4 linked regions of the Lonchura striata genome follow. The protein of the gene in region 4 purifies or fractionates together with the protein of the main gene of each other region. This does not show direct contact. Links are inferred from orthologs where the notes say so. Each region holds a gene or a part of one and is shown on either strand. Other genes may lie near its edges.

Evidence for each region.
Region 1: the proteins of RBBP4 (region 4) and PWWP2A purify together in Homo sapiens (affinity purification with mass spectrometry; 4 studies listed by BioGRID and IntAct, with this or other methods). This does not show direct contact. The link is inferred for Lonchura striata from reciprocal best matches to the Homo sapiens genes RBBP4 and PWWP2A.
Region 2: the proteins of RBBP4 (region 4) and SIN3B purify together in Homo sapiens (affinity purification with mass spectrometry; 4 studies listed by BioGRID and IntAct, with this or other methods). This does not show direct contact. The link is inferred for Lonchura striata from reciprocal best matches to the Homo sapiens genes RBBP4 and SIN3B.
Region 3: the proteins of RBBP4 (region 4) and CHD3 purify together in Homo sapiens (affinity purification with mass spectrometry; 9 studies listed by BioGRID and IntAct, with this or other methods). This does not show direct contact. The link is inferred for Lonchura striata from reciprocal best matches to the Homo sapiens genes RBBP4 and CHD3.

The regions. Positions count from the first base shown.
Region 1 is NC_134617.1:1,276,032-1,283,462, forward strand, and holds the start of PWWP2A (PWWP domain-containing protein 2A), read left to right. Parts: upstream 1-4,430; 5' UTR 4,431-4,464; coding exon 4,465-5,120; intron 5,121-7,431. UniProt on the Homo sapiens protein: Chromatin-binding protein that acts as an adapter between distinct nucleosome components (H3K36me3 or H2A.Z) and chromatin-modifying complexes, contributing to the regulation of the levels of histone acetylation at actively transcribed genes.
Region 2 is NC_134630.1:3,955,824-3,963,280, reverse strand, and holds the start of SIN3B (paired amphipathic helix protein Sin3b), read left to right. Parts: upstream 1-4,455; coding exon 4,456-4,560; intron 4,561-5,180; coding exon 5,181-5,287; intron 5,288-6,082; coding exon 6,083-6,236; intron 6,237-7,298; coding exon 7,299-7,457.
Region 3 is NC_134636.1:1,912,594-1,919,495, reverse strand, and holds the start of CHD3 (chromodomain-helicase-DNA-binding protein 3), read left to right. Parts: upstream 1-3,898; 5' UTR 3,899-4,000; coding exon 4,001-4,262; intron 4,263-6,902.
Region 4 is NC_134628.1:930,454-937,786, reverse strand, and holds the start of RBBP4 (histone-binding protein RBBP4), read left to right. Parts: upstream 1-4,332; 5' UTR 4,333-4,407; coding exon 4,408-4,423; intron 4,424-6,165; coding exon 6,166-6,313; intron 6,314-6,577; coding exon 6,578-6,723; intron 6,724-7,333. Other genes in the region: ZBTB8OS (protein archease), read right to left, coding at 1-10, 273-355, 545-666, 1,203-1,227, 2,601-2,688. UniProt on the Homo sapiens protein: Core histone-binding subunit that may target chromatin assembly factors, chromatin remodeling factors and histone deacetylases to their histone substrates in a manner that is regulated by nucleosomal DNA.

The sequences.
Region 1 (7,431 bases), on a different chromosome or scaffold from region 4:
CTGTGTGAATGAAATGTTCCTGTCCATTTTTCACAGCCAGCAGAGATGAGGCTCCATGTAAGTGCCAAAGAGAAGGACACGGTGACACAGGCAGTTGGCAGCTGCTCCTTCATCTCGGAAGTACAAAGGATCCAAATGATTACCAGTGAATTCCATTTCCCCTATTGTCCTGTCTCCTTGAGCTCTGTCAGCAGCTACCCTCGATGAGAAGAGACTGTGTAGGATTCCCACTCCTCTAATTAAGGTGCTTCACCCTTCCTGTTACTCCTGTTTGAAATAGGATTCATCTCCAGGAACCACAGGTGAGGAAAGGTCACATCTCACCAGTTGGGCACTCTTGATGTGAACAGAGCTTGACTGCAGACGTAGAACAACCTCGGAAACACCACAAGGAACAAAAAAGTTGCTCTGACATATTTATGACTAAAGAGACTTCTGTAATTTCTGTAAAGAGGACTTTAATGAGAAATCCTCAATTACCAAGCTGCCTTACCCACAGCTGAGTTTGGCCTCTCCATCTGTCCTGGCTCCAGGGATGATGCCCATTTTCTCTGAATGGAGAGACCCATGGAGATGCAGTGTGGCTGCCACCAGCACCTGCAGCTGCACAGGCTGCAGGAGGAGGCAGAAACCAGTCAGATTAGGAGATAAAACAGGAAGTACCTTCAGACTCCATTTCCTTACAACTACCAAGTGAGATCTCAGCAGTGACACGGTGCCAGTCCTTCACCCCAAGGGCTCACAATTACCATTCTTTTAAAGCAACCCCAACTCTGGAAATCTATTTCAATCAATTCTCCATATGGACATTAGATTAAGCCCCATTTATTGACTTCATCTCATGTTCACAAGAAATGCAGCACATAATTGACTTTTCAGCTTGCAGGGCAGAATTCTGGGGCACATGAGACTGCAGTGAGCTTTCCCAAATGCTCATCCCTAAACCCAAAAAAATGAGCTCTGTGCTCATAGGGCCACAGAAATCAGTTACCAGCATTACAGGAAGGACTGGTGATTCTCTCACCCTAAATTAATTTTCTGTAATATTTCACTAACAAATATCAATCCAGCTTAAATATAATTAACATCTGTTGTAAGAGCATTACTTTCCTAATCTGTTAGAGGAGCAGTGAGTTTGCAGCACACAAGCACGACCCAGATTCAGTTGATTTGCCTGAATCCCTCTGCATTACTCACATCCAGTGGTTTTCACTGGTTACACTTTTTCCTTTTAACTTAGAAAGCCTTGAACATTCTCCACCAGCAGATCATGCCTAGAAAATGCTGACTGGAGGATTTATTAGCAGTGTGTAAAGCTGTGAACACTAAACCTGACTCGGGGAGGTTTGGTGGCCCTGCCCAGGGTCACAGGAAGCCGCTGTCACTGTGGCAGGCAGAGGAAGCCACTGTGACTGCAGCTGGGCTTGAGCAGGGCAGCAGAGCTCTGTGTCCCTGCAGCAGAGCCTGCAAAGGCTGCAGTGAGGATATAAACCTCATCCTGGAATGTGGGGAGCCCCAGAGCCTCAGTGGGGCAGGCTGAGAACCTCCTCCCTAAAGCTCCTCCATCCCAGTGCAGGTATCAGGACAGGGATCTGCTGTCCCACCAAGACAAAGAGTCCCTGTAAATCCTCCAGAGCCCTGTGTGCCCACACTGAGATGGACCAGCTGCAGCAAGGACAGCTCAGGCCACCTGGACCTCTGCAGCCCCTGGGATAGCAGCAGCTCCACGAGTTCCAGCCACTGGGCAGTTCCAGGGGCAGCTCCTCGTGGAGCCTGCTAACACAGCTTTGCTCCAAGGAAGCTGGGGGAAGCTGCAGTCATGGGTTTGGCTTCACTGCAAGCCTGGTTACTGTCCATTTATGAATATTGCTCCTTAAAGCCCTGCACTGGGCCGTGCCTCTTTCATGGCACTGCATTTCCAGGGAACTGGATGCCCAGAGAGTGATGTTCCCACTGTCCAGCAGCTAAAATCTCCACACCCACACCCCATTAGTTATCACCTGAAGTAATAACGTAGTTATTACTCAGACCTGCTGGGACTAGCCACACTTCAGAGTGGAGTTTCATGACAGAACAAATCAATATCACTAATGCTGAGTTTAGAGGTTCCTCACGTCCCACACAAACAATTCCCTCCCTGTGGGTGCTGTGCACAAACTCCAGCTGGATCTGCTGCTTCCCTGCATCCCCCTCACTCTCTCCACCCAAACTCAGCTTCCTCAGCTGCCCATCCCAACAATTTACTGCAACACATCTTTATGGAGCTCAGCATTTTTCCTGCCTTCATTTTAATTGTTTTATTCCCCCCGATTGTCTCTGTTCCTCTCTGTAATTTATAGTTTCTTCTCTCCATTTCTGTCCTTCCTGCCACTTGCTGAACACAGAGAGACTTGGTTTAATTTACAGAGAGTGTGGTACTGCAATCTGTTTCATTAACTTAATTAGTTTTATTTTGGCAGTTTCTAAAGGTTCCAGGATAGAAAAAAAGGCTCCAACTATGCAGTCACTCTGCAGACCAGCCACTGTAAGGCAAATCCTATCTTAAGGAGATTACAGGTTAGATTTGAAATAAATAGAAAATAAATAGTGATCAAAGGTATTTGGGATGGGAAAAATTATATAGTGAGGGCTTTTTTGTTAAATTTACGAGTACCATCCTGCATCCACATGCCTGTGTTGGTGAGGTTGAATTTTAGAGTTACCTATGGTACAGTATTTCTGTGTGGCATTATTCTGGGCTGTAAATGTCCTAATTTACCTCTTTTTAAAAGCACACACAGCACTTTTCAACATTCAAAGGAGCCGTTTATGTTTTATTTTGATCCCTCAGTAGGGTCAAGCACATAATCTGCTGTTACTGCAGTGAAGCAGAGAACAAGCCATACACCCACTCTGTTCCCTTCGGAGCACAGGAATTGCTGGGATCTCCAGGGGATGTAAAACACAACAATTTGCATTTGAATGCCTTCCACAAGCAACACCTGCTGAAAAGGTGCGTTCCAGCAGACTTGCAAGAAGAAAATCTTCCATTTTATGCCCATCCTTTCCATAAATCCCAGCTTAACATAACAAAGAGCCTGCTGGGCTCAGCTGTTGGATCTGCGCATCCCATCAGCTCCAGGGCTGAGTAGTTTTAGTTTCTTTCTGTGTTAGTTGGGAATTTCTGGTAGGCTCAGGATTTATGGCCCCGTTCTCTGCTCAGCAGCCACAAGGAAGGGAGCAGGGGCTGAGTGTCCTGAGCGCACAGAACAGAAATACCATGACAAGATAAAACCCCTCTGCTCTGTAGCCAAGGCCACGTCCCTTCTGGCCCCCTGCCCCAAAGGTGGCTGGAAAAGTCTGGTTTTGCAGAACGGGTTTTTGCAGACTGGGCTTTTGCAGCCCGAGCTCTGCCATATCCTGAGGGGCAGGACCCGAGCGCTGCCCCGGGCTGGACGGGGCTCGGGCCAGCAGGAGGAAATCTTTAACTCGTTTTCTTTTCTCCCCTTCGACTCCACGTTTGCACCTGATGTGTCTAATGAGGCGCTTAACACTTTAAAATGCCGATTTGCCTCACAAAAGGCAACAGTCCCTTTGCCTTGCCCTCCTCAGGGGAGGAACAGGAGGGTCAGACATTGATCTGTGCTGAGCAGGGACAGGAGCCAGGGAAGGGCTGTGCCAGGGCAGCTCAGGGTGGATTTTGGGAAAGGTTTTTCCCCAGAGGGTGCTGGCACTGCCCAGATCCCCAGGGAATGGGAATGGGCATGGCCCCGAGGCTGCCAGAGCTCCAGGAGGGCTTGGACAGCGCTCCAGGGATGCCAGGGTGGGATGGTCTGGGGTCTGTGCAGGGCCAGGGGGTTGAACTGGATGATCCTGTGGGTCCCCTCCAGCTCCGCGTATTCCCCTCTCCCCGCGTCACCCCCTCAGTGCTCCCCAGCACGGAGACCAGCCGCTCCCCTGCCCGCGCTGCACAACGCAGGAGGCAGCGCCGGGCCGTGGCCCGCGGGGGAGCCGCTGCAGGGCGATCCCATGGTGGGGTGACCTGGCCACTCTGAGGGGGGACGTGATCCCTCTGAGGGGCGACCCGGCCCCGTGCCCGCCCCCGCCATCTTCCCCCGCGCGCTGCCCGGCGCCGCTTCCCGCCCCGCGACGGACACTTGGCGCCGCCAATCACCGGCCTCCCTCGGGAGCGACGCCTCTCTCCGCCAATCAGATAGCGAAGCGGCCCCACTAGCCCCACCCCCGTAGCCTCTAAAGCGTTAGACCACGCCCCCTCTTCCCCTTCCTGGCTCTGCACTGAATGAAGCCCCCGCTGACCAACGAGAAGTTCCCGCGGAGCTGGATGGACAGGCGGCCTGCCCAATAGAAGCGCATCATTGCGGCGCACCCGCCAATAGGGTGCCGTCTGCGGGCGCGGGGGGCGGGCTCTCCCTCCCCGCGGGCCGTGGCCGTCGCTCCCGCTGCTGGAGGGAGGCGGCGGAGAAAATGGCGGCCATGGCTGCGGAGGCGGCGGCGACTGCGGCGGTGCCGGGGGACGGCGGGGCCGGCGAGGCCGAGCCCGAGATGGAGCCGATCCCGGGCAGCGAGGCCGGCGCGGACCCTCTACCCGCCGTCAGCGAGGCCGTGGAGTCGGCGGTGCCGGATGGCGAGGAGGCCGACGGCGGCAAGGCCGAGGAGCCGCCGCCGGTGCAGCGCGCCCGCAGCCCCGGCGGGACTCGCGAGCCGGACGCGGGGAGGACGGAGGAGCCGCCGCGCAGCCCGGGGGTGGAATCGCCGCGGGCCGAGCCCCGCGCAGCGGCGCCCAGCCCGGGCTGCTCGGAGCCGCCGCAGCCCTGCCCGCCGCCCGAGCCGGCCCGGGAGCCGCCGCAGCCCTGCCCGCCGGCTGCCGGGGGCTCCGCGGGGCCCGGGGAGGAGCCGCCCCGGCCGGAGGAGGAGGAGCCGGATGCTGCCGCCGCCGCCGCGCCGGAGCCCGAGCCGGCGGTGCCCGCGGCCCCGGGCGGAGGGGAGGCGGAGGTGCCGGCGCTGCTGCCCGGCTCCGAGGTGCGGGTCACCCTGGACCACATCATCGAGGACGCCCTGGTGGTCTCGTTCCGGCTGGGAGAGAAGCTTTTTTCCGGGGTCCTCATGGACCTCTCGAAAAGGTGAGAGCTCGGGGGGAGCCCAGCCCGAGCCCCGCACCCAGCGCCGAGCCCGGGAGCGCTCCCGGAGCCGCCGGGGGCGGGATGGGGGCGGCCCCGCCGGGAGCCTTGTGGGCTCTGCAGCTTCGCTCCCATCCCATCCCATCCCATCCCATCCCATCCCATCCCATCCCATCCCATCCCATCCCATCCCATCCCTCCTCGGCCCCTGTCCTCCCCGGGCCGAGCAGCTCCTGCCCCCGCGTCCTCCCCGGGAAGCGGACCCGCAGCTCCTGAGCATCCTCTTCCTCCTCTTCCTCCTCCTGGACCCTTCCAGCCGGGGGTGGGCAGGACCCCCTCGGGTTGGGAGAGGCAGGAGAGGGGCGAGCACATGGGCACAGCCTTTGGGCTTGGCCGGGGCTGCAGCAGCATCCCTGTGTGCCGGGAGCAGCGCCCGAGCGCTGAGCGTGGCGTTTATTCCCCTCTTTGTACACAATCAGAAATCTGATTGCCCTCTTCCTTCGCCCTTACATTGCCTAGGTAACCTTCTTTTTCCGGAATAATGGTTTTCCAGCTAGGCTGTTGTAGTTGTTAATTAGTACTGATTGCTCCTTGTACGCAATGAACGGGGTGAAGTTTCATGGTTCTTAAATAGCCTTGTGGACGGGGGGGATTTTAACGTATCTCTGAATAAGTTACCAGACAGCAGGGTTTGGGGTTTGCTTTTTTTCATTGCCTTTCAATATGAGAAGCTCTTGGGAGACCAGAAATCATGGTATCTTACAAACAATCCAGGTTCTATCAGCAGGTGAAAATACTTCTTCGTCTTAGTGTTTTTTTTCTAGACGTGTAAGGACTCTGCAAGTTCATGAGAGAAGAGTGAAATTTAAGCAAGGTTATTATTTAAAATAATCGGTATGCAAAATATGCAGCAATTTTCTCCCCCAGATTTAAGCTGTGTGGGGATATATATCTTTTATCACTCCTTTTATGTTGTTAGTAGCTGTTCAGGAACTTCGTGGAATATTAATATTGTCGGTGCTCTCTAAAAGGAGGATTGTGAGGATCAGCACTTCTGGCTGTGAGGCTGGGATTTGATACAAAAGGCCTTGTCTGACCCCCAAGTTTTGGATAATGTCAGGGAGTGACGTTTTCAGTCTGCCACTTGATGAGGTGTGAAACGCTGAGCAAAAACTCCAGCCACTTAGTGGGGTGAAACAGTGTCTCAGATCCGGGCAGGAGGTGACACAAATAAGATGTAATCCTGGGTAGCACGGATTCTTTTGTAGGTTTGAAGTTGTCCCAGCAGAATGCCATGGTTGCCCTGGGCTGGAGGGTGACAAAGCCTCTGTTTCCAGGAGTGCAGGAGAATACCAGCTTCTCCTTTTCTCCTGAAAGGGATCTTGTCCTCCTAAACACACCCTGGCCACAATCACCCCACGTTTTCCCAGGCTCTTGTGCACTGAGGAGCCTCTGGCAGGCAGCAGATCTGCAGCCCTTTGCAGCAAAAGTCTTTTTGCAGGCTGGCTGCTGCTGCTGTGCCTTGGTGGGAGCATCTCCAGCCTCCCTGGGTCCAAGCCCAGCTCCTGGGACAAAGCTGTGCAGGGGGAGCTGTGGAAAAGCCATCCAGGGAGGCTGGGGCTGGCCCTCCCAGCTTCTCTTGGCAGTGGAGCTATTCCTGCCTTCAGAGATGCTTCTGCATGGAAATCCAGGAGGGGAAATTTAAATTCTCAAGGCTGAGCTCTGCGGAGGGCCTGGACAAGAACTGAGTTTTGAGACAGAAGGGCTGTATTCATGGGCTGGTGACAGCAAAACGTTGGTAGATAACAGGGGTGTCTCTTATCAGTTGTCTCAGAGCAGGAAATGCAGTGAGAAACAAGGTCTAGAAATACTCCAAGAACTTCCTACCGCTAAGAAATGGAAGCATTATTTAAAAAAGTGTTGCCTGTATGTCCAGCAATTCCATTTTATCACTTCTATGGTGACTAACAGGTGATGTTGTCTAGGTGTCAGCTTTTCCTTATATCTGCTTATTTGTGTTTGCTGTAGCAGCACCTGGACTTGCAGAACATGAATATTTTTTCACAAACTTCCTTCTGTGTCTGTGGTAGGCCCTGGAATTCTTGTCATAAGTTTTTCCAGTGGACCAAAAAAAAAAAAAAAAAGAAGGGCAGGACTAAATGAAAACCACCTAAATTCCATGCATTTGCATGACAACAGTGGGATTTCCAGCATGGGAGATGGGTGGTTGCTGAAATCTGTCTCATTCATATGCATGGGAATAATCTCAATTTTCCTAATGCCAAAGGGATCAATATTTTAAGACTGACAGTTC
Region 2 (7,457 bases), on a different chromosome or scaffold from region 4:
CAGGGATGAGGATAATCCACACAGAAGTGTTGGCCAGGCTTCTTGCCTGCCTTGGTGCTTCCTACCTGGAGCTCGTGGGGTGGCTGTGGAGCAGTGCCTGAGCTGCTGCAGGGTCTGTCCCTACCCTGTGCTCATCCCACTGTGTGGAGTTCTTCACAGGGCTGTGTGTAGGATCTCACCTCTCCTCAAAGGTAGGATCATTCCTGGGGCAGATACAACCCAACAATATTTCTAATTATCCCTCTGTTATGAATGAGATGCAAGAAACACGATAAACAGGAAGGAAGAATTGATTGTGTTCTTCTGAGGAAGAACAGACAATCTTGTGTCCCTCATCCACAGGAAAGTGATGTGAGGACTGTTCTTTGGGATGCATATCCTGGATAATGAACCTGCCCCTGCCAGAAATCAAATTCCAGATGCACAGCCTGTGATCCATGGCAGCAGAAACAGCACAGGTTCCTTTTTCAAATTTCCACACACCTCACCTCAGCTATCAAGAAAGAGTGGGGCTCACAAAAGGAGGGATTTTCCCTGCAAGAAGCACAATAAATTTGGAGGAGAAAAGCCCAGTTTCTGTAGGAGCCCAGCCTGGAGACAAAGGCAGGAGGAAGGTGCTGTGCCTTTGTGCTGTCCATGCCCTGGCCCCATTGGCAGCTGCTTCCACAAATGAGGAGAAAGTGGGTCATTTAGTCGCCAGGACAACAACAGCACACACTGACCTAGATATGTCTGCAGGAACCTAATCTTGCTCCTGGCACAGACCACGGGGTTCAGACAGGACCTGGGGTTCCAGCTGGGGAAACACAGCACATAAACAAGCTCAAAAATGTCCTTTTTCTGTCTGTGGCAGCAAGAGCAGCCTCTCCTGCCTCTCTGTGTGTCACAGCGATGGCACTTGGTCCTGATTGCCAGCTGCTGGTGGCAGCTTCCCAGGATGGCTCTGTGATTGTCTGGAATATGGAAGTTTTTGAGATGCTGCATGCCCTTCCTGGGCACTCTGCTGAGCCTTCTCCAATTTTTGGGGCTGGAAGGCTGCTTTCATGCCTCAGAAGAGCTGTGTCAGCATGGCAGTCCTGGATCTTTAGGCACACAGACATCTCCCAGCCATGTTGTTGCAAAACAACAGAGAAGCCCTCGTTCTGTGAGCCCCTCTCTTACTTAGCTGAGGCGAGGTGTGTGAAAGTGTTTGAAAAAGGAACCTGTGGTGTTTCTGTCATGGACCACAGGCTAAACATCTGGAATTTGATTTCTGGCAGAGGTAGGTTCATTATCCAGAATATGCATCCCAAAGAACAGTCCTCACATCACCTTCCTGTGGATGAGGGACACAGGATTGTCTGTTCTTCCTCAGGTACAAAGGTACCTGTCAGTCTTTAGCTTAAAGGGGCTGAAAGAACCACAGATTTGCAGCCACAACCTTGAAGGTTGCAGCTTGTGACAGGTGAAAACTTGAAATATGAATAATAAGCCATTTCCCAAGTAAGGAAGCCAATCCTGAGCCCATCTGAGGGCAGACAGAGTAGGGGCAGTCTCTCAGATTTCCCTGTTTCACAGGTGAAGGGTGTGACACAATGCACACACCTGCCTGAGTGAGATGCTTGGAAATATCCGAGCAAAGCCAGCTCCTTTTCCCGGGACAAAGCCCTTGTCTTCCCACTGAACTGCAGGCAGGATGTCACTGTTGTTATACGTGTACATGATAATTCATGTACACATATAATGTGTACATGACATAAATAAATAATACATGACAATAAATAAAATTGTCGTATATTTTATAATTATATACTGTTAAGACAAACTCTAGTAAGTTTTTAAGCGACAGGGAATGCAACACAAGATGGAGACCACCCAGACAAGGGAGGGAGGACTTAATTTACAAGCAAATGAACGTGGCCAGCCCGGAGATGGATCATCCATAAGGTGGCCTGAGGCGATAAATACTCGATAAATATCTGAGACTAAGATAGCCAGAGCCATCAGGGAGATACATCTCAATAAGAATTCCAGGAATTGGATCACTCTCAGATATGTATTGTTCAATTTGCCACAGAGAAAAGAACTCCACATGAATACTTGCAGTCCGAAAAGGAAGAAAAGGGACTCTGCCTCGGGCAAGAAATATCGTTTAAAAATGGTCAGATGGGACAGTCGGTGTGAAGCATCCTCTGCCACAGCAGTCAAAGCTGTGTCAGACCCGAGCTCGGCACCGACCCTTTTTTTTTGATAGTGGCTTTTCGTTGTTATTCTCTAAATTTATATTTGGAACATTTAATACATTTTCTTTAATTATTAAATTGGAGTTTTCATTTATAACAAGTGTCATCCTTCCTCCAGAGCCACAATCAAGAGGCAGGAGGAGCAGTTTGCCACAGGCCGGGATGATTTATTCCTAACAGATCCACAGGCCCAGGCACACCATCAGAACCCAGATCCCGGATTTCCTTGGAGATCACAGGGATTCAGTCCTTAGGAGTGCCCTGGGGCCCAAGGGCTCCCTTTGGAAGGTCACAGATCTCCTGCTTGGCAGCTCTCTTGGAGCTCTGTCAGCAGCAACTTGAGCTGAGCTATTCTGAGACACCAGGAGCTGAGTGTCAATGGTTAATGGACATCCAGCTCCCAGGATTCCCAAGAACACCCAAATCCTGACAAAATGTCAGGCACATTTTCCCAGCACCCAGGGCTGGTCTGGGAGCATCCTCACAGCTGGATTCACCAGTCAGTGTTGGTGCTGGCAGGGGCTGAGGGCTGGGAACTGTGCTCTGGCAGAAAACAGAACTCACAGGTGTTACCTGCAGCTGGTTCTGCTCATGTCACCACATGGCACAAACCAGGGAAGAGGATGAGACTTCTCAAGTTAATAATAGTAACAGAAAACAGAATTTGGGCCAGCTCAGGAGAATCCAGGAGGAAAAAATAAAAGAGGTGCAGGGGGTTGGATCAATGATTTTCTTTTGCCTGACAACACACCAAAGATATCTCTGAGCTACTCCTTTCCACAGGTGGAATAAAGGTCTTTACGTTCCCTACCAGGCTCTTTCCTGCACAGCTATGAGTGCTTCATAACCTAGGAGTTGTATTTGGCTCCCACCACTCTTCCAGTATTACTCCTGTAAAAATCTGTATTTATTATCTCTATTCTTAAGCACTGAATAACCACTGAAAACTCTAAAACATCTCCAACCTGTATTTACCAGCACAACAATCTAATGCCATTTTCAGCCCACATCTCTCCTGAAAGGCCTTTGCAGTGCCTGCTTCTCCAAAGATGATAAATACTTGTATGCTGGGTCACTGAATCAATCCACCAGTCTGGCTGCTGAAAGCAGTAACTGTGAAAGAAAAAGTCTTTATTAATTAAATCCTTCCTGTATGAAGGGAAATGGGTCACAGGGCAGCAGTTTGTGCAAGTATCAGAACAGGGGATGGAATATCACATCCAGAGGCCGTGTGTGAGCATCCTGCCTGAAAGCTGCAAACAGCTGGAATACTCCAGCACAACATAGAGAAAAATATTCTGAGCTCAAATACCAGCAGCAAGTTTAAAGGCAAAGCAAGAAAGGCTTCTCTGCACTTTTCTATGATGCAAATCATCTGTAATGCTTTAAAGAAAAACAAATCACACGGCTTTATTTTTCCCCCTCTCCTCTTTGCTCTTCATGTAACTCAGTTTTACTGAGTTCAAATTGCCTGCTGACAGGAACTGCTGGGGGAAGTGGCATATTTTAAGCCTACATTTACCCTGCTACCCCAGAGCAACCCTTGAGCTCAGGGCACACCATTGAGGGGCTCCCCGGGCTCTCCAGCCCCTCCAGCTCCCCCAACCCCCCCATGACTCTCCCAAACCCCCTCATGGCTCTTCTCACCCCGGCTCCTCCACACCCCCTGCCTCTTCCAGCCCCTGGGGCTCCCCCAGCCCTCGTTCCTCAGGCTCCCCACAGGCCCCACCAGCTCCCCCGGCCTTCCCCAGCCACCCCTGGGCTCCTCCAGCCCCGTCTGAGTCTCTCCAACACCCCTCGGCTCCCTCAGCCCCGCAGCACCAGTCGCCGTTTCTCCAGCCCCGGCAGTTCCAGTGCTCAGCCCGCGGCTCCTGCAGACTCCCAAAGATCCCAGGGATCCCGCAGCCCCCCGGGCTCCTCCAGCAGCTCCCCCTGGGCCCCGGAGGCCCCTGAGGAGGTCCCTGAGGCGCTGCTGAGGCGCTGCTGAGGCGCCGCTCCCGCCGCTCGCTCGAACGGCCGGAAGCGGCGCTGGGGGCGTGGCCTGCACGGATGAGGGCGTGGCCACACCCTGTGGGCGGTGAGGGGGCGTGGTCTATGGCGGGGCGTGGCCAATCAGAGGGCGGAGGCACGGAGGGGGCGGGTCTCGCTGCGGAGGGGGCGTGGCCTGGGCCGTGCGCGCTGACGCAGCGGCGGCGCGCGCCGCCGGGGCCGCGCTCGCCCGCCCGACTCCAACATGGCGGCGGGGGGCGGCGGCGGCCGCGGGGCCGGCGGGGGCAGCGCCCCGCGCTGGGGCGGCGGCGGCGGCCGGGCCGCGCCGCACGAGAAGCTGCCGGTGCACGTGAGTGCGGGGGCCGCCATCGCCCCTTCCCCACCCTCCCCCGCCCCCGCGAATGGCCGCTCCTCGCCCCCCCCGGGACGGCCCCGCCCGCCCCCGCCGTGACCTGCCCCGTCCCGGCTGCGGTGCCGAACTCGCCCCTCAGGGCTTGTCCCTCACCCGCCGGTATCGGGGGGTGTCCCGGGGGCTCGTCCCCCTCGCGCCGGGGGCATCCCCGCCTTCCTCCGCTGGTTCCGTGGGGTCCCCTGGGGCTGCATCCCCTTCCCCCGGTTCCGTGTCCTGTTCCCCCGGTACCGTGAGGGCTCCCCGGGCCTGTTCCCCCCTCGCCTGGGCCCTGCCCCTCTCCCCGGCCCTGCTGTTCCTCTCAGGTACTGCGGTCATCCTCCCCAGGGACCTGTTCCCGGCTCCCCGGTGCCGTGCCCCCCTCCGTGCCGTGCCACCCCCGGGCACGGGCAGCCCGCCGGGGCCTGCCGTCCTCCGGTACCGAGTGCCCTCCGCCGCTGCTGCGGGGCTCCCCCGGCGCCGGTTCCCACCCCCTTGAGGGTGTCTTGAGGTGCCCCCGCCCCAGTTCTGGTGCCGTGGGGGCTCCGGGGCCTGTTCCCCACCATGTTCTCACCCCGCAGGTGGAGGATGCGCTGTCCTACCTGGACCAGGTGAAGATCCGCTTTGGCAGCGACCCTGCCACCTACAACGGCTTCCTGGAGATCATGAAGGAGTTCAAGAGCCAGAGGTAAAGCCAAGGTCCTTCACCCCAGGGTGCTCTAAGGACCTCATCAGCATTTCACAGAGGCCCGAACATCCTGAGCTGGGAGGGACCCCCAGGGATCATCAGCCCAGCCCCTGTCCCTGCCCAGACCCCCCAACAGCCCCACCCTGAGCAGCCCTGAGAGCGCTGTCCAAACGCTCCTGCAGCTCTGGCAGCCTCGGGGCCGGGACCATTCCCTGGGGAGCCTGGGCAGTGCCAGCACCCTCGGGGGGAAGAACCTTTCCCTGAGCTCCATGCCAAGGCCTGGCACAGCTCCAGCCCTTCCCTAAGGTCTCAGCCTTTGTGGGGTCTCTCTGCCTTTGCAGAGCCCCCCAGCCTTCACCCCATCATTCCTCCTCTGCACACTCACTGCCCTGTTCCCCAGTGGTGCAGTTCTGTGAAGCTGGAGTACTTCTGCCCATCCCATAATTTTCCAGAGGTGAAATGCACAGGAAAAAGCAAATCTGCTTTTGCTTTCCACTCTGAAACGCAGATCTGGGAAATAAGTGAAGCAACCTGAACAGAACCTGTGACCTGCAAGCTCTGGAGGTGCTGGCTGTCTGTCCTGTCCCTTTGCCAACCTGCACACTCATCTCTCCTCCCCAAGGATAACACTCCCAGGGTGAAGCTGCAGTGGTCATTCCCTCTAATTTGGCTAATTGTTTTTTTAAATAATTGCACCCCTAATTTACTAGATACTTCACATTTCTCTTGGCAGTTTCTGGGCTTAACTTGTGTTTCTGATTTGGATAATAAGTAACAAGCGCCTCTCAATTTTAGCATTGACACACCTGGAGTCATCCGACGTGTTTCTCAGCTTTTCCATGAGCATCCCGACCTCATTGTAGGATTCAATGCATTTCTTCCTCTGGGCTACAGGATAGAAATTCCAAAGAATGGGAAATTAAGTATACAGTCACCTTTGAATAGTCAGGTAGGTCACAGAACTCTTATCCTCTAAATAAACTGTTCCATGTGTCACTGGACATGTCTGCACAGTTTAGGCTGTGGAGATTTATGTATAGTGCTTGTTGCTGATGTTTTTAAAGCCTTTTTAATGGGTGTAATATAAATGTAAATGTTTATGCAAAGAATCATAGAATGCTTTGGATTGCAAGGGGCCTTAAAAATCACCTAGTTCCAACCTCCAATTTATTCTCAAACCAGGTAGTTTGACTTACACAGGAATGATGATTCTGCATGGAAACACCATTTCAACACCAAATATTTCAGTCGTGTTTGGAAACTGAAACTGGAATTGGCTTGACATTGTTCCCAGTATGGGTTGTGGGTAGTGGCAAATTTCAAGGGGTGATCCTGGAAGAATTGCACTTCCAGTCTTCCACTGAGAAACCAGGAAACTTGCTTAGGAAACAGGCAAAAGAACTGTGAAATCATTGAGTTGTTGACATTGGGAAAGGTCTTTAAGATCATGGAATCCCCATCAGATACTGTTGGTGTGAGACCCACTTGCTGGGATACAGATGGATGTCGCCCCTGCTTGATTTTTGTTATTACTGTGTGGAGCTGAAATACAGCCATAAACTGAATTCTGCTGATAAACTTGTGGTGTAAGTCTAGTTAGCAGCAGGAACAACCTTTTAAATCTCAGCTCCCTCAGATCCCTGTGTTGCTTAGGAATTAACACCTGTAAGGGCTGTATGTTTAATATGCCCCTTAAAACTGGCAGCTCCTCTGCAATAACCAGTGTAGCAGAACCTGCAGTGGTGTTTGGTGCAGCCTCTCAGTTGAGGCCAATAAGGCTGTGACAGCCACAAATCAGGTGGTTCTTACACCAGGGAGAACTTCAGGCATTATTTTAACTGATGGAGTTAATAAACCAGGTAGGGAAATTGATTGGTGACTGAACTCCTTTTTCTTCCTTCTTCACGTGACATTATTTTTCAGCTGGAGACTTGCCAGCACTGCTGCTGGGCTGTTGTTCAGCTGGTCCCTGATCTTTTTCCAACCCATCTCGTGTGTCCTGTGCCCCCAGGTGCCCCCAGAGCCCGTCCCCAGTGCACTCCCTGGCAGTGGGCTGGTCTTGCACTACTCCCAGGAGAACTCCCACAACCACAGCGACTGCTCTGAGGAGTTTCGGCAGCAGCTTCCCTACAAAGAAGATAAATCACAAATTCCCTTGGAATCTGATTCC
Region 3 (6,902 bases), on a different chromosome or scaffold from region 4:
AATTTGGGGGGATTTGGGGCCCTCGTGGTGTCACACAGGGCTTTTGGGGGAGAATTTTGGGGGAATTTGTAAAAATTTGGGGTTCTTGTGGTGTCACACGAGGTTTTGGGTGGAATTTGGGGGGATTTTGGGGTTCTGGGGGTGTAACACGGGATTTTGGGGGGGGAATTTGTGAAAATTTGGGATTCTTGTGGTGCCACATGAAGTTTTGGGGAGATTTTGGGGGGATTTGGGGCTTCTTGGGGTGTCACATGAGGTTTTTGGGGAGAATTTGGGGGGATTTGTGAAAATTTGGGGTTCTTGTGGTGTCACAAGAGATTTTGGGTGGAATTTGGGGGTCCTGGGGGTGTCACACGAGGTTTTGGGGGAGAATTTGTGAGGATTTGGAGTTCTTGTGGTGTCACAAAAGGTTTTGGGTGGAATTTGGGGGGATTTGGGGGTTCTGGGGGTGTCACACGAGATTTTGGGTGGAATTTGGGGGGATTTGAGGGTTCTGGGGGTGTCACACGAGATTTTGGGGAAAATTTGGGGAAAATTTGTGAGAATTTGGGGTTCTTTTGGGGGGATTTGGGGTTCTTGTGGTACCACACGATGTTTTGGGGGGATTTGGGGGTTCTGGGGGTGTCACACGAGGTTTTGGGTGGATTTTGGGGGATTTGGGTGTTCCTTGTTCTGAGTGACAACAACCAGGAACAGCTTTTGGGTTAAAAACCCAAATAGGGTAAAACCCCCAAACTTGGAGTGGTTTTTACCCCATTTCCCATCATTTTTGGGGTAAAAAGGCCCCAGAAAGGAAGGGGAAGGAAAAAAAAGGCAGCAAACTCCAGAGGTGGGGTAGGGGCAGGCACAGCCTGGGGGGTTTGGGGTGATTTTGGAGCATTTTGGGCAACTTCACCCCTAAAAACCATCACTGAGGACAAACTCCTCCATTTCACCTCTGGGTTTTTTTGGGGGGAGGATTTGGCCTGGATTTGGGGGAACTTTAAACCCTTTTTTCTCCCCTTTTTAATATTTTCTTTCTCCTTTTTCAATTTCTCCCCCTTTTTTCAATATTTGTTCTCTTTCCACCTTTTTTTCCCTCCCCTTTTCCTAATTTCCCCCTTTTCCCCCCTTTTTTTTTTAACACTTTCTTCTCTTTTTGGAATCTTTCCCCATCACTTTAACTCTTTCCAAATCTTTTCTTTTTTGATTTTTGCCCACTTTTAAAATACTTTTCCCCTTTCTAAAGTATTTTTCTGTGTTTAGTATTTGTCCCTCTTTTGAATCTTTTTCCCATTTTTTATCTCCCCCCTTTAATACTTTTCCCTTTCTTTCAGTATTTCCCCCCTTTTTTAATCCTTCTTTTCCTTTTTCAATTTTTAAATCTTTTTCAGTTTTTTACATTTTAAATTTTCTTTCATTTTCTCTGTCTTTTCATTCTTTTTCTCTTTTATTCTTCCCCTTTTCCAAACTTTTTTCCTTTTTAAATAGCTTTTCCCTTTCCATCCTTTTTTGTTCTTAAATGTTTTTCATTTTATTATTTCTCCATTTTTCAATACTTCTAGTGACTTTTGTTCCTTTTTGAATATTTTTCTCAATTTCAACATTTTAAAACTTTCATCCTTTTAAATATTTTTCTGCTTCCACCCTTTTTGAGTATTTTCTTCCTTTTTCAATTTTTCCCTTTATAATTTCTTCCCTTTCCCGTCCTTTTCCAATCTTCTTCCCTTTTGCAATGTTTTAAAAAATATTTTTTCTTTCAACCTTTTCTCTTTTCTAACCATTTGTCCCTTTCTCAACATTTTTCTTTTTGCATCTTTTAAAATCCTTTTCCCTTTCCCAATATTTTTTATTCCTTTCATTATTTTCCCTTTCCAAGCTTTTTTCCTTTTCCAATCTTTTCCCCCTTTTCAATCCTTTTTCCCTTTCTCAGTTTTTTCCCTTTTCAATTTTTCCCCTTTTTAATCTTTTTCCTTTTCCATTTTCCCCCTTTTCAATCTTTTTTATTCCTTTTCAATCTTTTCCCCCTTTCCCAACCTTTTTTAATCCCACCTCTATCTTTCCAACCCCTTCCTCAACCTTTTTTTTTTTAAACCTTATAACCCCCCCTTTTTTTTTGTTCTTCCTCCGTTGCAGCCTTAAAGAAACTCCAAAAAAAGAAAAAAAAAAAAAAAACACCCAAAAGAAAAAAAAACCCCAACAACCCCAAAACCCAACCCACCAAACCACTCCCTTCCCAAGTATTTCAAAGTCGAGGAGGGAGGGAGAAAGAACAAAAAAAATAAAAAAAAATTTGCTTTTTAATTTTTTTTTTTTTAGTGCGTGTTTAAAATCACCGAGGGAGGGGGGAGGAATGGGCAAAAAAAAAAAGGGGGGGGGAAGGGTAAAAATCCTTTAAAAAATGAAAAGGGAAGCGTGACGAGTATGGAACTAGTTAACCTTTAACAATTTATGCTGATGTCACACTGAGCATGAGTACTGATTAATCCCCCCCCGAAATATTTTTATGGGAGTGAGGGGGGGGGGGGGGGAAGAATAAGGAGAAAGAGAAGAAAAAAAAAAAAGCAGAAAAAAAAAAAAAGAAATAATTTACCGCAGCCATCTTTGTTTTATGCAGAAAAATCTCCGGCTTCGGGTCCCCCCCGGCTGGGGCCACACAAATATTTGTCCCTCGCCGAGCCGGGATCTTCGGGAGGGGGAAAAGCAAAATAATATCATTAATGAGGCCCCAAAAGCGACCAAAAATACCCTAAAATGAGCAGGATGAGGATTATTCGCCTGCTCGGGCAGTAACGGCGAAGGCTGGGGGGGGGTGGGGTGGGGGGAGCTTTGGGATTTATTATTTTTCAGGGGTTTCGTGCTTTTTGATTTTTTTTTTTTTTTGTATTTTTAAGGATTTTTCGTGGCTTTTGTTTCTAATTTTTTAATTTTTTTTTTTTTTTTTACGTCGCGCGGTTGATTTTTAAGGTTTTTTGGCGCTTTTTTTTTTTTTTGATGTTTATTTTTACCCTTTTCAGCCCTTTCTGGTTTTTGTTTATTTTTAACCTTTTTTCCATTCCCTTCCCTTTTTAAATATTAATGTTTATTTTTGACTCTCCTCTTTTGCCATATCAATTTTAAGCTCGATTGTCCCTTTTCTTCCCATTCCTTCCCCATTTTAAATTTTAATGCCGATTTTTACCCCTTTTTGCCTCTCCTTCCTGCCCCTTTCCATTTTTCCACCTCATTTTGTCATTTCACCCTCCCTTTCCCCTCCAATTTAACTCCTTTTCAATTCTCCCCTTTATTTCCTTCATTCTTTTCCCTGAACGCTTCCCTTTCCTCCTTTTTTTTTTTTTTCCCCTAAAATATTAATTTCAATTTTTTTTCCCCTTCCTTAATTCCCCTCCCCCTTTCGCGGGTTGGGTTTTATCGCTTTTTTGTGCGTTTTTGAGGCTTTTCCCCCCTCTTTTTCACCCTCTTTCCTCCCTTAAGGTGCGTGTGGGGCAACTTTAAAAAAAAACCCTCATTCGGCCATTTTGCGCTTTTTTTTTCCCTCAAGAAGAGGGGGGGGGCACCACCCCCCCATTTCCCTCATTTTTAACCCCTCCCTCCTCCATATTTTTTTACGCCTTTCCCCCCCCTTTACCGGGGTGTGTTTTTTATTATTATATATATTTTTTTCTCTTCTTTTTTTTTTTTTTTTTTTGTGTGTGTGTGTGTTGAAAGGGGGGGGGGGGTTTATTTTAAAATTACACCCGGGGCGGCCATTTTCGCTGCCGGCGCCGTCCCGCCGCCCGGCGCCTCCCGCGCCCTGAGGCGATTTTAACCGATCCGGGCGTTTTTCAACCCATCGCCGCCGCCCCCCCCGCGCCCCCCGCGCGGCCCCGCCGGGCCCGGCCCGGGGGGGGTCGCCCCGTCCCGCCCCCTCCCCACTTTCCCCTCACACCGAGCCCCCCCGGCCTCGGCGGCGGGGGCGGTTTGGGGCGGTGGGAGCGGCGCACGCCGAGGGTCCCCCCGGCCCCCCGCCCCTCAGCCGGCCATGGCGTCCCCGCTGAGGGAGGACGAGGAGGAGGAGGAGGAGATGGCGGTGTCCGAGGGGGACGAGGAGGACGACGACGAGGAGGACGACGAGGAAGAGGAGGAGGAAGACGCCGCCGCCGCCGCCGCCGCTGCCGCCGCGCTCTTGGCCGGGCACCGAGGGCCCCCCGACATCTTCGCCGGGCCGGCCCCGGCCCCGCTCCCGCCGCCGCCGCCGCCGCCCCCCGCGCCCGCCGCGCCCGGACCGCCGGAGGCGCCCGCAGGTACCGCCGGGACCCCCGAGTGACCGCCCCGAGCCCCTCGGAGATTCCCCGAGTGACCGCCGGGACCCCCAGAGTGACCACCCCGAGCCCCCCGAGGGACCGCCCCGAGCTCTCCGAGTGACCATCCCGAGCCCCTCGGAGATTCCCCGAGTGACCGCCCCGAGCCCCCCGAGTGACCACCCCGAGCCCCTCAGAGCTTAGCGGAGTGACCACCCCGAGCCCCTCAGAGTGACCACCCCGAGCCCCTCAGAGTGACCGCCCCGAGCCCCTCAGAGCTTAGCGGAGTGACCGCCCCGAGCCCCTCAGAGTGACCACCCCGAGCCCCTCGGAGTGACCACCCCGAGCCCCTCAGAGCTTCCCCGAGGTACCGCCGGGACCCCCCGAGTGACCACCCCGAACCTCTCAGACCTTCCCCGAGTGACCACCCCGAACCCCTCAGACCTTCCCCGAGTGACCACCCCGAACCCCTCAGAGATTCCCCGAGTGACCACCCCGAACCCCTCAGAGATTCCCGCAGTTACCGGGAGCCCCGAGCCCCTCAGCGCTTCCCGGGGGTACCGGAACCCCCGAGCTCGCCGCCACTCGAGCCCGGCGCTTCCCGGGGGTACCGGGACCCCCCAAGCGTCCCCCCGAGCTCGCCGCCACTCGAGCCCGGCGCTTCCCGGGGCCGCCCCCCGAGCTCCCCCTTCCCGCTCCCTCAGCGCTTCCCGGAGGCGCCCGCAGCCACCGAGCCCCCCCGGTCCTCACCCGTCCCCTCAGATCCTCCCGCAGGTACCGAGCCCCCCCGGTCCTCACCCGTCCCCTCAGATCCTCCCGCAGCCACCGAGCCCCGCTGTCCCCTCAGCTCCTCCCGGAGCTTCCCGCCGGTACCGGGACCCCCGAGACCCCCGGTCTGCCCCCACTCCCTCAGAGATTCCCGGGGCCGCCACAGCTGCCGAGGCTCCCCGAGCCCCACTGTCCCCTCAGCGCTTCCCGCCGGTACCGGGACCCCCTGAGCCCTTTGAGCTCCATTTTCCCCTCGGCGCTTCCCGCCGGTACCGGGACACCCTGAGCCCTTTGAGCCCAAATCTCCCCTCAGCGCTTCCCGCCGGTACCGGGACCCTCCTGAGCCTCAATTTCCCCTCAGTGCTTCCCGCCGGTACCCAGACCTCCTTGAGCTCCATTTTCCCCTCAGCGCTTCCCCCCGATACCGGGACCTCTTGAGCTCCATTTTCCCCTCGGCGCTTCCCGGCGGTACCGGGGGTGGGCTGCGAGGGGAGGGAGGTGTTTGTAAACAACCGCGAGTGTCACCGCGGGTGTCACCGTGCGGCCACCCGTGTGTGGGGACATCTCTGGCCGCACACCGGCCCTGAGGGGACACGGTGGTGGCGGGGGCTGGTGGTGCCCTGCCAGGACCCAAAGTGGGAGCTGAGCCCATCGTGTGGGGTGACAGGGGTTGGATGTCCCCTGACAGGACCCAAAGTGGCTCTGACCCCATCGTGTGGGGTGACGGGGGCTGGATGTCCCCTGCCAGGACCCAAAGTGGGCACTGACCCGTCATGTGGGGTGATGGGGGCTGGTGGTGCCCTGCCAGGACCCAAAGTGGGTGCTGACCCATCATGTGGGGTGATGGGGGCTGGCAGTGCCCTGCCAGGACCCAAACTGGGCTCTGACCCCATCGTGTGGGGTGACGGGGCTGGTGGTGTCCTGCCAGGACCCAAAGTGGCTCTGACCCCATCATGTGGGGTGACAGGGGCTGGTGGTGCCCTGCCAGGACCCAAACTGGGCTCTGACCCCATCATGTGGGGTGATGGGGGCTGGTGGTGCCCTGCCAGGACCCAAAGTGGCTCTGACCCCATCGTGTGGGGTGACAGGGGCTGGCAGTGCCCTGCCAGGACCCAAAGTGGCTCTGACCCCATCATGTGGGGTGACAGGGGCTGGTGGTGCCCTGCCAGGACCCAAACTGGGCTCTGACCCCATCATGTGGGGTGATGGGGGCTGGTGGTGCCCTGCCAGGACCCAAAGTGGGCACTGACCCCGTCATGTGGGGTGACAGGGGCTGGATGTCCCCTGCCAGGACCCAAAGTGGGCTCTGACCCCATCGTGTGGGGTGATGGGGCTGGCAGTGCCCTGCCAGGACCCAAAGTGGTGCTGACCCATTGTGTGCGGTGATGGGGGCTGGTGGTGTCCTGCCAGGACCCAAAGTGGGCTCTGACCCGTCATGTGGGGTGACAGGGGTTGGATGTCCCCTGCCAGGACCCAAACTGGGCGCTGACCCCATCGTGTGGGGTGATGGGGGCTGGTGGTGCCCTGGCAGGACCCAAAGTGGGAGCTGAGCCCATCGTGTGGGGTGACAGGGGTTGGATGTCCCCTGCCAGGACCCAAAGTGGGCTCTGACCTGTCATGTGAGGTGACAGGGGCTGGATGTCCCCTGCCAGGACCCAAAGTGGGCTCTGACCTGTCATGTGGGGTGACAGGGGCTGGATGTCCCCTGCCAGGACCCAAAGTGGGAGCTGACCCCATCGTGTGGGGTGAGGGGTGTTGCTGTGCATCTGCCAGGACCCAGAGTGGCTGTTTTGCGGAGTGTTGGGGGCTGTAGGTACCTGACAGGACCCAGGTCGGCTGTTGCACCCCATATTGAGGTGTTTGGTTGCTGATTCT
Region 4 (7,333 bases):
CTTTCACTTCCTGCAGAGAGAGTGGGAAGAGAAATGTGTCAGTCACACCTTCTACCTTCAGGCAGAAATTCCCAGTAAATCCCACTTACAAAGGTTATTTCCCGCTGTTTCAACACCTTCCACCAGCCCAGCTTGCCCCAAAAGCTCCATCCACCCTTGCCTTGTGTTTTTTGTGTTCCTTTTTCCCCTAAAATACCATTGCATTCAGAGCTGGGATTATCAGGGCACAGCTTTGTCCTACAAATGGAAAAAGCTGAAACCAGAACACTTACCCTGGGTATAAAAAACTCATCAGCACTGAATTTATACAGCCACTCATCCAGGAAGTGGAAGAGAAGAGACAATAGGTCATGCCCTGTGTGGTTGAAGCAGAGATTTGCCTCAGCAAAAAAACATTTTCAACAGCACCTCAGATGTACAGGAGATTCAGATAACCATGCTTAATTATATTTTAATTAACTGCACTAAAGCTATGTGTAAAAATTGAGATTTTTGGTGCTTTTCTCCTTCTCATAACTCTGCATAGAAGAGGTGCAGTCCTCACCTTCTGCCTCTACCTCCACCGTATCCACAGGTTCCACAGTGCCTGTGTCTGTCATGTAGCCAAACATGGCCATGGCACACTGCTCAAAGGCTTCTTCCAAGGTGTCTCCCCAGGCATGGAGCCTAAAAACACATGCAACAATCACTGGAGCCTAAAAACACATGCAACAATCGCTGCAACACAATACTGGATCACAACAAAAAGGAACAGCCCCAAAGTCACATGCAAATGAGCAATTAGAACATTGGAACTCAGGCAGAGGAGGTGAATGAGTAAAAAAAACCACCTGATTTTTCTAGAAGAAGTTTGTCAGAAGAGTTTCTTGGGAGAATGTGGAAAATAAATGTTTTACTAGTTTTCTTTCCTAATGTGACTAAATGGTGTCTATAAAAGTAAACCACACAGAAGAAATTTTGTTTAAAAGGAGATTTCAAAAGACGTTTCCAAATAGCACTGAATGCTAAAAAAGAAACCAAACGTAATTCTATGGTGTCCCAAAAGCAGGAGCAAAACTGACCATATCAAAGCACCCAGTGACATTTCAGAGCTCCACAAGGTGTTACATCTGCAAAGTGTCCTTGGCTGTTACTCCAGGCTTAAAGCAGTGTAAAAAATAATCAATTTGTCACCCTGAGAAATCCCAGCTGCCCACACTTACTGCACATCTGCTGTGTGATCCAAATCTGAGGGGAAGCAAAAAGAAAAGGAATGTCACCAAAAGTATTTATAATATAAGGATTAAAAAAATAACAAAAATATCTGATTTTCTAACAAAACATTTTTACATTCGTCTGCATATATGATAAATCTACTGTAGTATATTAGAAAAATTTAGCACAGGTGGAAATTTGGATATTATTTCTGCCAAAAAACCTGTTTAATGTGATTATGTCAGTGCAGGGTTTGGCTGCTGTAACCCAACAGGCTTCCACAGGTTAACTGCAATAACAAGAAACTTTCACCAGGAGTAAAATGTTTATGCTGAAGTCTGCAGGACTCAAAGTTATTCATGCAGAGGATGAGATTTGCAAATATTTCCAGCTCAGTAAGGAAATCTACCTGTGCACACCCAAAAGCAGCCATTATGCAAAGAGAAGAATTTAAAACAGAGGATGGAATATAAAATAGAAGGCAAACTTTACTCATGGAGCATGATTAACATCCCATGTATCCAGCTGTACGTGAACCTTGTTGATGTTTATTCAAAGAAATTAAAGAAATGAAAATTCTAGCAGAACTAAGTTGGGATGTGAAATAAATGCTCACTTTAACTGAAAAAAAAAAAAAAATTTGGTGCTGTTTAAAGAGATCACGCACTATTAGACAACAGTCTCTAAAGCAAACAAATTCCTTTGGGTGCAAAAGAGGGATAAAAGCTCCTCCAGTTATGGAAACTGTGTGGCTGTTGTGATGTGTCACAATTTCTGCACTTCTAGCAAATAAAGACCTGAACACAGCCTAAAAATAGAAATTCTATCAGAGGTTGGGCTGCCACCCACATCCTCTGAGGAGCCATTCCCGGGGTGGGGAAAGGGAGAGATCTTTAAGGAGAGTAAAAACACCACACACAAAGCCAGCCCACTTTTTAATGTCCCTTCCTACAGGAGAGGTAGAGAAATTGCTAAAAAATGGCTCAGAAGAGGAAAAGTTTTCAGGGTGAGACCTGAGTCATTTATTTCCAGCGTGTTGTTTTTTTTTTTTTTTTCAGTGCCCATAACAAGAAAAATTGTTTATATGAGGGAAAAAAAGAAGAAAATAAAAATAAGAAAAAATGAAGAAGAAAAAGAAGAAAAAATGAAGAAAAAAAGAAAAAGAAAAAATAAAAATAAGAAAAAAATGAAGAAAAAAATAAAAAGAAGAAAATATGAAGAAGAAAAAATATAAAAAGAAGAAAATTAAAAAAGGAATGAGGAAACACATTGAGGAAAAAATGAAGAAAGTAACATGAAGAAAATTGGTTTTTCATTCCTGTATTTCCTGTTATCTTCCTTGCCCTCACAACAGCACTGCCACACGCTGCATCATGATAATATTTTAAAAAAATAAAAATACTCACATTCATATTTCTTGCAGAGAGGGGGGTACTTGTCCTTCACAGCCTTCTGCTCCTGGGTCAGGTTGTAATCCCTGTCCTCGGCTGCCATCGCTGAGGGCTCCCCAGGGATCCCTCCCTTCCTCAGGCTGGGGCAGAGCCAGGAATTCTCCCTCAGTTCCTGCTTTCCTCACAAACCTGTGGAGAACAGGGAGGATTCCGAATTTCAGCTGGTTTGTGTCAGATTGGGAGGGAAGAAATTAAATCCCACACCCATGAAGTGATGTTTGGTCAGGCAGCAGAGCCAAGGGAAAATATTCCTTATAGGAATTGTGGATTTTGGCCTTTTCTGGGAGGAATTCTGTTTTTTTCCTCCTTGTGTACATTGAGCATTCAGTTCATTCACAATTAATAAAATACAGCCCTGATGGGAACTGCTGTGAAGTGAATTAAACTTCCATGCTTTAGGTTAATTTCAATTTTCTAATTAATTCATTTTTTGAGGGTGCTCAGCCCATTGTACACCACACACCTGAAGTGTCACTGCCCCCAAAAACCCCTGATGTGACCTTACAGGTTTTTCCTCAGGAAAAAAATTAAACCTCAAAGCACGTGCATGGTAAATCCAGCTGTCACCCAAGTGCCAGGGGCTTCCTGTGTTCCTTCTCCAGCTGATTTTTTAAATAAAACAAAAAAAAAGAATTGTATCAACTGTAAAAAACTGTATAAAGAAAAGAATTGGGGAAAAAAAAGAACTGTAAAAAAGAAAATGTATCAACTCCCCCATATAAAAGTCAGATCCTCACACCCCAATCTCACAAATTTTATTTTTCCTGTTCTTTTGTAAATTCAACATGAGAGAAACTGATGAACCCAATTAACTTCAGGCTGATTAATTTACCTCTCCAGATTTCCAGATATCACAACGATTCTTTAATATTTTTGTGCATTATAAGAATTATCCTCAGCTGAACCCAGCACTTCCCCAAACACAAATAATTTATAGATATACCTTAACTTTTACACAGGAGTCGCTTCTTACTCCAAAGCTTAGAAACAAGGCTTAAGATTTCCAATTTTTAATTTCAGCTAAAAATCTAAGTGTGTTGGAAAGAGGTGTCTGAAGTTGAGAACTCGAGGTATCCCTTGAGGAATAAACCCAGATACTGATATTTGATTTTAAACCTGTTAAGCCTCACCTGTGGACAGCACAGCAGCCGACCAGAACCAGCAAATGTCACGCCTTTAAAACTCACCGCGGCAGTAAATTGTGGGAAAAGGGAACATATTCGTGATTACAGAGAATTAATAACACGCCGAGGATACCCAATGGTGGCAGGGCGGCCCTGGATGGCGGCCTCGGCCCACACTCGCACCGGTCCGGTCCCGCTGCGATACGCACTTCCCACGTCTGTGGTGACCGGAGGAGCCGCAGCCACCGCTTCTTCCAAACGAGGGACCGGGAACTGGCACCGAACCCGGCGCCCCTCAGCTCGGGGCGCGGCCCCTTTAAGAGCGCTCCTGAGGGCGCTCCGGAAAATGGCGGCTCCCACGGGGAGCCCGCCCACGGGACGGCGGCGCGCGCTCCCCTCCCCGCCCCTTTGCCCTCCGCCGATTGGCCGGCGCCTCCCGGCGGCGGGCGCTGATTGGGCGGCGTTGGCGCGCGAAGGGGTGCGCGGCGCCGGCAGCCGCACGCAGCGGGGGCAGGAAACAATAGACGGAGCCGCGGCCGGAGGGGTCGGAGCAGGGAGCGCAGGGAGCGCAGGAACCGCCCGCCCGCCTCGCCCAGCCTCGCTCCCCGCGCCCCGCCGCGCTCCCCCCCCGCCCCGCCATGGCGGATAAGGAAGGTAAAGGCTCCGTTATGGGCGGCGCGGCCTCCGCCGGGAGGCGCGGGGTTCCCTCCCTCTCCCCCCCCGCAGCTCCGTTACGGCGTGAGGGGAGCGGGGCGGTGCCGCCAGGGGGCGCGCGGGGGCGGGGCCTGAGCGCTCCCCCTCAGGCATGGCCGCCGCCGCTCCCCGCGCCCGCCGCACCGCCCGCGGGCAGCGGCCCGGGCCGGGGCCCTCCGCCCGCCCCTGTGCCCCTCGGAGCGGCTTGTGAGGCCGGGAGAGCCGGGCCGTGCCCTGCGCGGGGAGCGGGCACACGAGGGTGGCACCGGAGGGTGCCCCGGTTGGGCGGGGGTGCCTCCGTTTCATGGGTGAGCTCCGGTCCCGCAGGGGGGTTCTCCCCTCCCGTGGGAGAGCCCCGGTTCTGTGGGGGTGTCCCCCAGTTCCTTGAGGATGTCCCCAGTTCCTTTAGGGTGTCCCCCCCATTCCGTGGGGGTGTCCCCGGTTCCTTGAGGGTGTTCCCCGGTTCCATGGAGGTGTCTCCCTAAAGGACACCCTGAAGGAACTGGGGGACATCCTTGGTTCCATGGGGGTGTCCCCGGTTCCTTGAGGATGTCCCCCGGTTCCTTGGGGGTGTCCCCCATTCCTTGAGGATGTCCCCCGGTTCCTTGGGGGTGTCCCCCATTCCTTGAGGATGTACCCCCGGTTCCTTGGGGGTGTCCCCGATTCCTTGAGGATGTCCCCCGGTTCCTTGGGGGTGTCCCCCATTCCTTGAGGATGTCCCCCGGTTCCTTGGGGGTGTCCCCCATTCCTTGAGGATGTACCCCCGGTTCCTTGGGGGTGTCCCCGATTCCTTGAGGATCTCCCCCGGTTCCTTGGGGGTGTCCCCCATTCCTTGAGGATGTCCCCCGGTTTCTTCAGGATGTACCCCCGGTTCCTTGGGGGTGTCCCCGATTCCTTGGGGGTGTCCCCCGGTACCTTAGGGGTGTCCCCGATTCCTTGAGGTTGTCCCCCAGTTCCTTCAGGATGTGTCCCCGGTTCCTTAAGTATGTACCCCCCGTTCCATGGAGGTGTCCCCCGTTCCATGGGGGTGTCCCCAGTTCCTTTAGGGTGTCCCCGTTCCACGGGTGAGCCCCCCCAGGTCTGCCCGTCACCTTCTCTGCACCGGAGGCTGGTGACAGATAGGCCAAGGAAGTGTTGGAGAGCTACAAGGCAGCAGAAGGAGCCTTGGGAAACTGGATTTTTGGGAGCAAGTAGTTCAAGGCTGCGCCCAGACCGGTCTGTTAAACAGCAGTTGCTGGATCTCCTGTGTTTAAACATCTTTACAAGCCTGGGTTTTGCCTCCCTGTGCTTGAGTCTCAGAATTTTATTGTGCTGCTCTAACAGCATCGTCCTCAAATCATCCCAGAATGGATTTTCCTCTTCTGAGCCATTTCTTAAACTCATCCCATTCCACCCCTGCCATGGCAGGGACACCTTCCACTATCCCAGCTTGCTCCAAGCCCTGTCCAGCCTGCCCTGGGACACTTCTAGGCATGAAATATGACATAGTTAATGTTAATTCCCAGCCATGTATGCATAAAAAAGGATTAGCATGTGCAACAGGGGATTTTTAACCGTTTAGTAACTATTCCAGTAGAGCAAATAGCAAACCAGGGTGTGATTGATGTACTTGACTCTAACCCATTGCCTGCCCACAGCGCTGTATGTCTGTAAATTCATTTACAAATAATTAATTGCATGTATTTCTTGAAAAAACACTTCAGCAGCCTTTGATGATGCAGTGGAAGAGCGTGTGATCAACGAGGAATATAAGATATGGAAAAAGAACACCCCCTTCCTGTATGATCTGGTGATGACCCATGCCCTGGAGTGGCCCAGCTTGACTGCTCAGTGGCTGCCTGATGTCACAAGGTAAAGGGACCCTTCTGCTCTCTTTTTAAAGCAGAACAAGCAGAAAATCCAGGATTGTGCTGGCTTTTAGGTTGAGATCACACAATCCCAAAGTGGTTTGGGCAGGAAAGGACCTTAAAGCTCATCCAAGGACACTTTCCACTATCCCACATTGCTCCAAGCCCTGCCCAACCTGGCCTTGGACAAATTCCCCTGTGCCAGCACCTCCTCATCCTCACAGGGAAGAGATTTGGTGATCCCTGTTTTGTTTCTCTTCCCCTGCAGACCTGAAGGCAAAGATTTCAGCATCCACAGGTTGGTGCTGGGCACCCACACCTCAGATGAACAAAACCACCTGGTGATCGCCAGCGTGCAGCTGCCCAACGACGATGCCCAGTTTGATGCTTCCCACTATGACAGTGAGAAAGGAGGTAAGAGCCCAAAAAAAGGGGAATTTGAACCATTTCCCCTTCCATTTCTCAGTAGGAAATTCTGTCTTTCCCTAAAGTTCAGGCAGCAAAGTTTAGATTTTACTTCTAAAAAAAATTATTTCTAAGTGGTGCCTCCTTAATAGACAAATTCTGTTTCTTGAATGTGTTACTAATCTAATATTTCTGATGATGGAAACAGACAGTAGAGGTTGATTGCAAAAATATTTGTGTGTGGGAAAACCTCTCCCTTCCCTATTTTTCAGGAACTGACCTTGAATCTCACATACTGCTTTTAATTGGTGTTTTTATTACCACATTTGCATTACGCAAAGTCACACGAAACATTTTTACACAAACTCACGTAAAAGAATATTTTTATTTCAGAGGAGTGTTAACATTTCAAACATTCTGTGAGTTCTGCTGCCTGATTGCTGTTCCACAATTATATTTCATTCCATGTATCAGACTTTAATTTGATGCTTTGTAACCTTTGTGGCTGTCTCAAGTTAGACATTTCTCCTGTTTGCTTGGCTGAATCAGTCTTTCCACCAGGTGAAAGTCCTCAATGATCCAATGTTTGCTCTACTTTTTACAGGAAGTTTGGATTGTG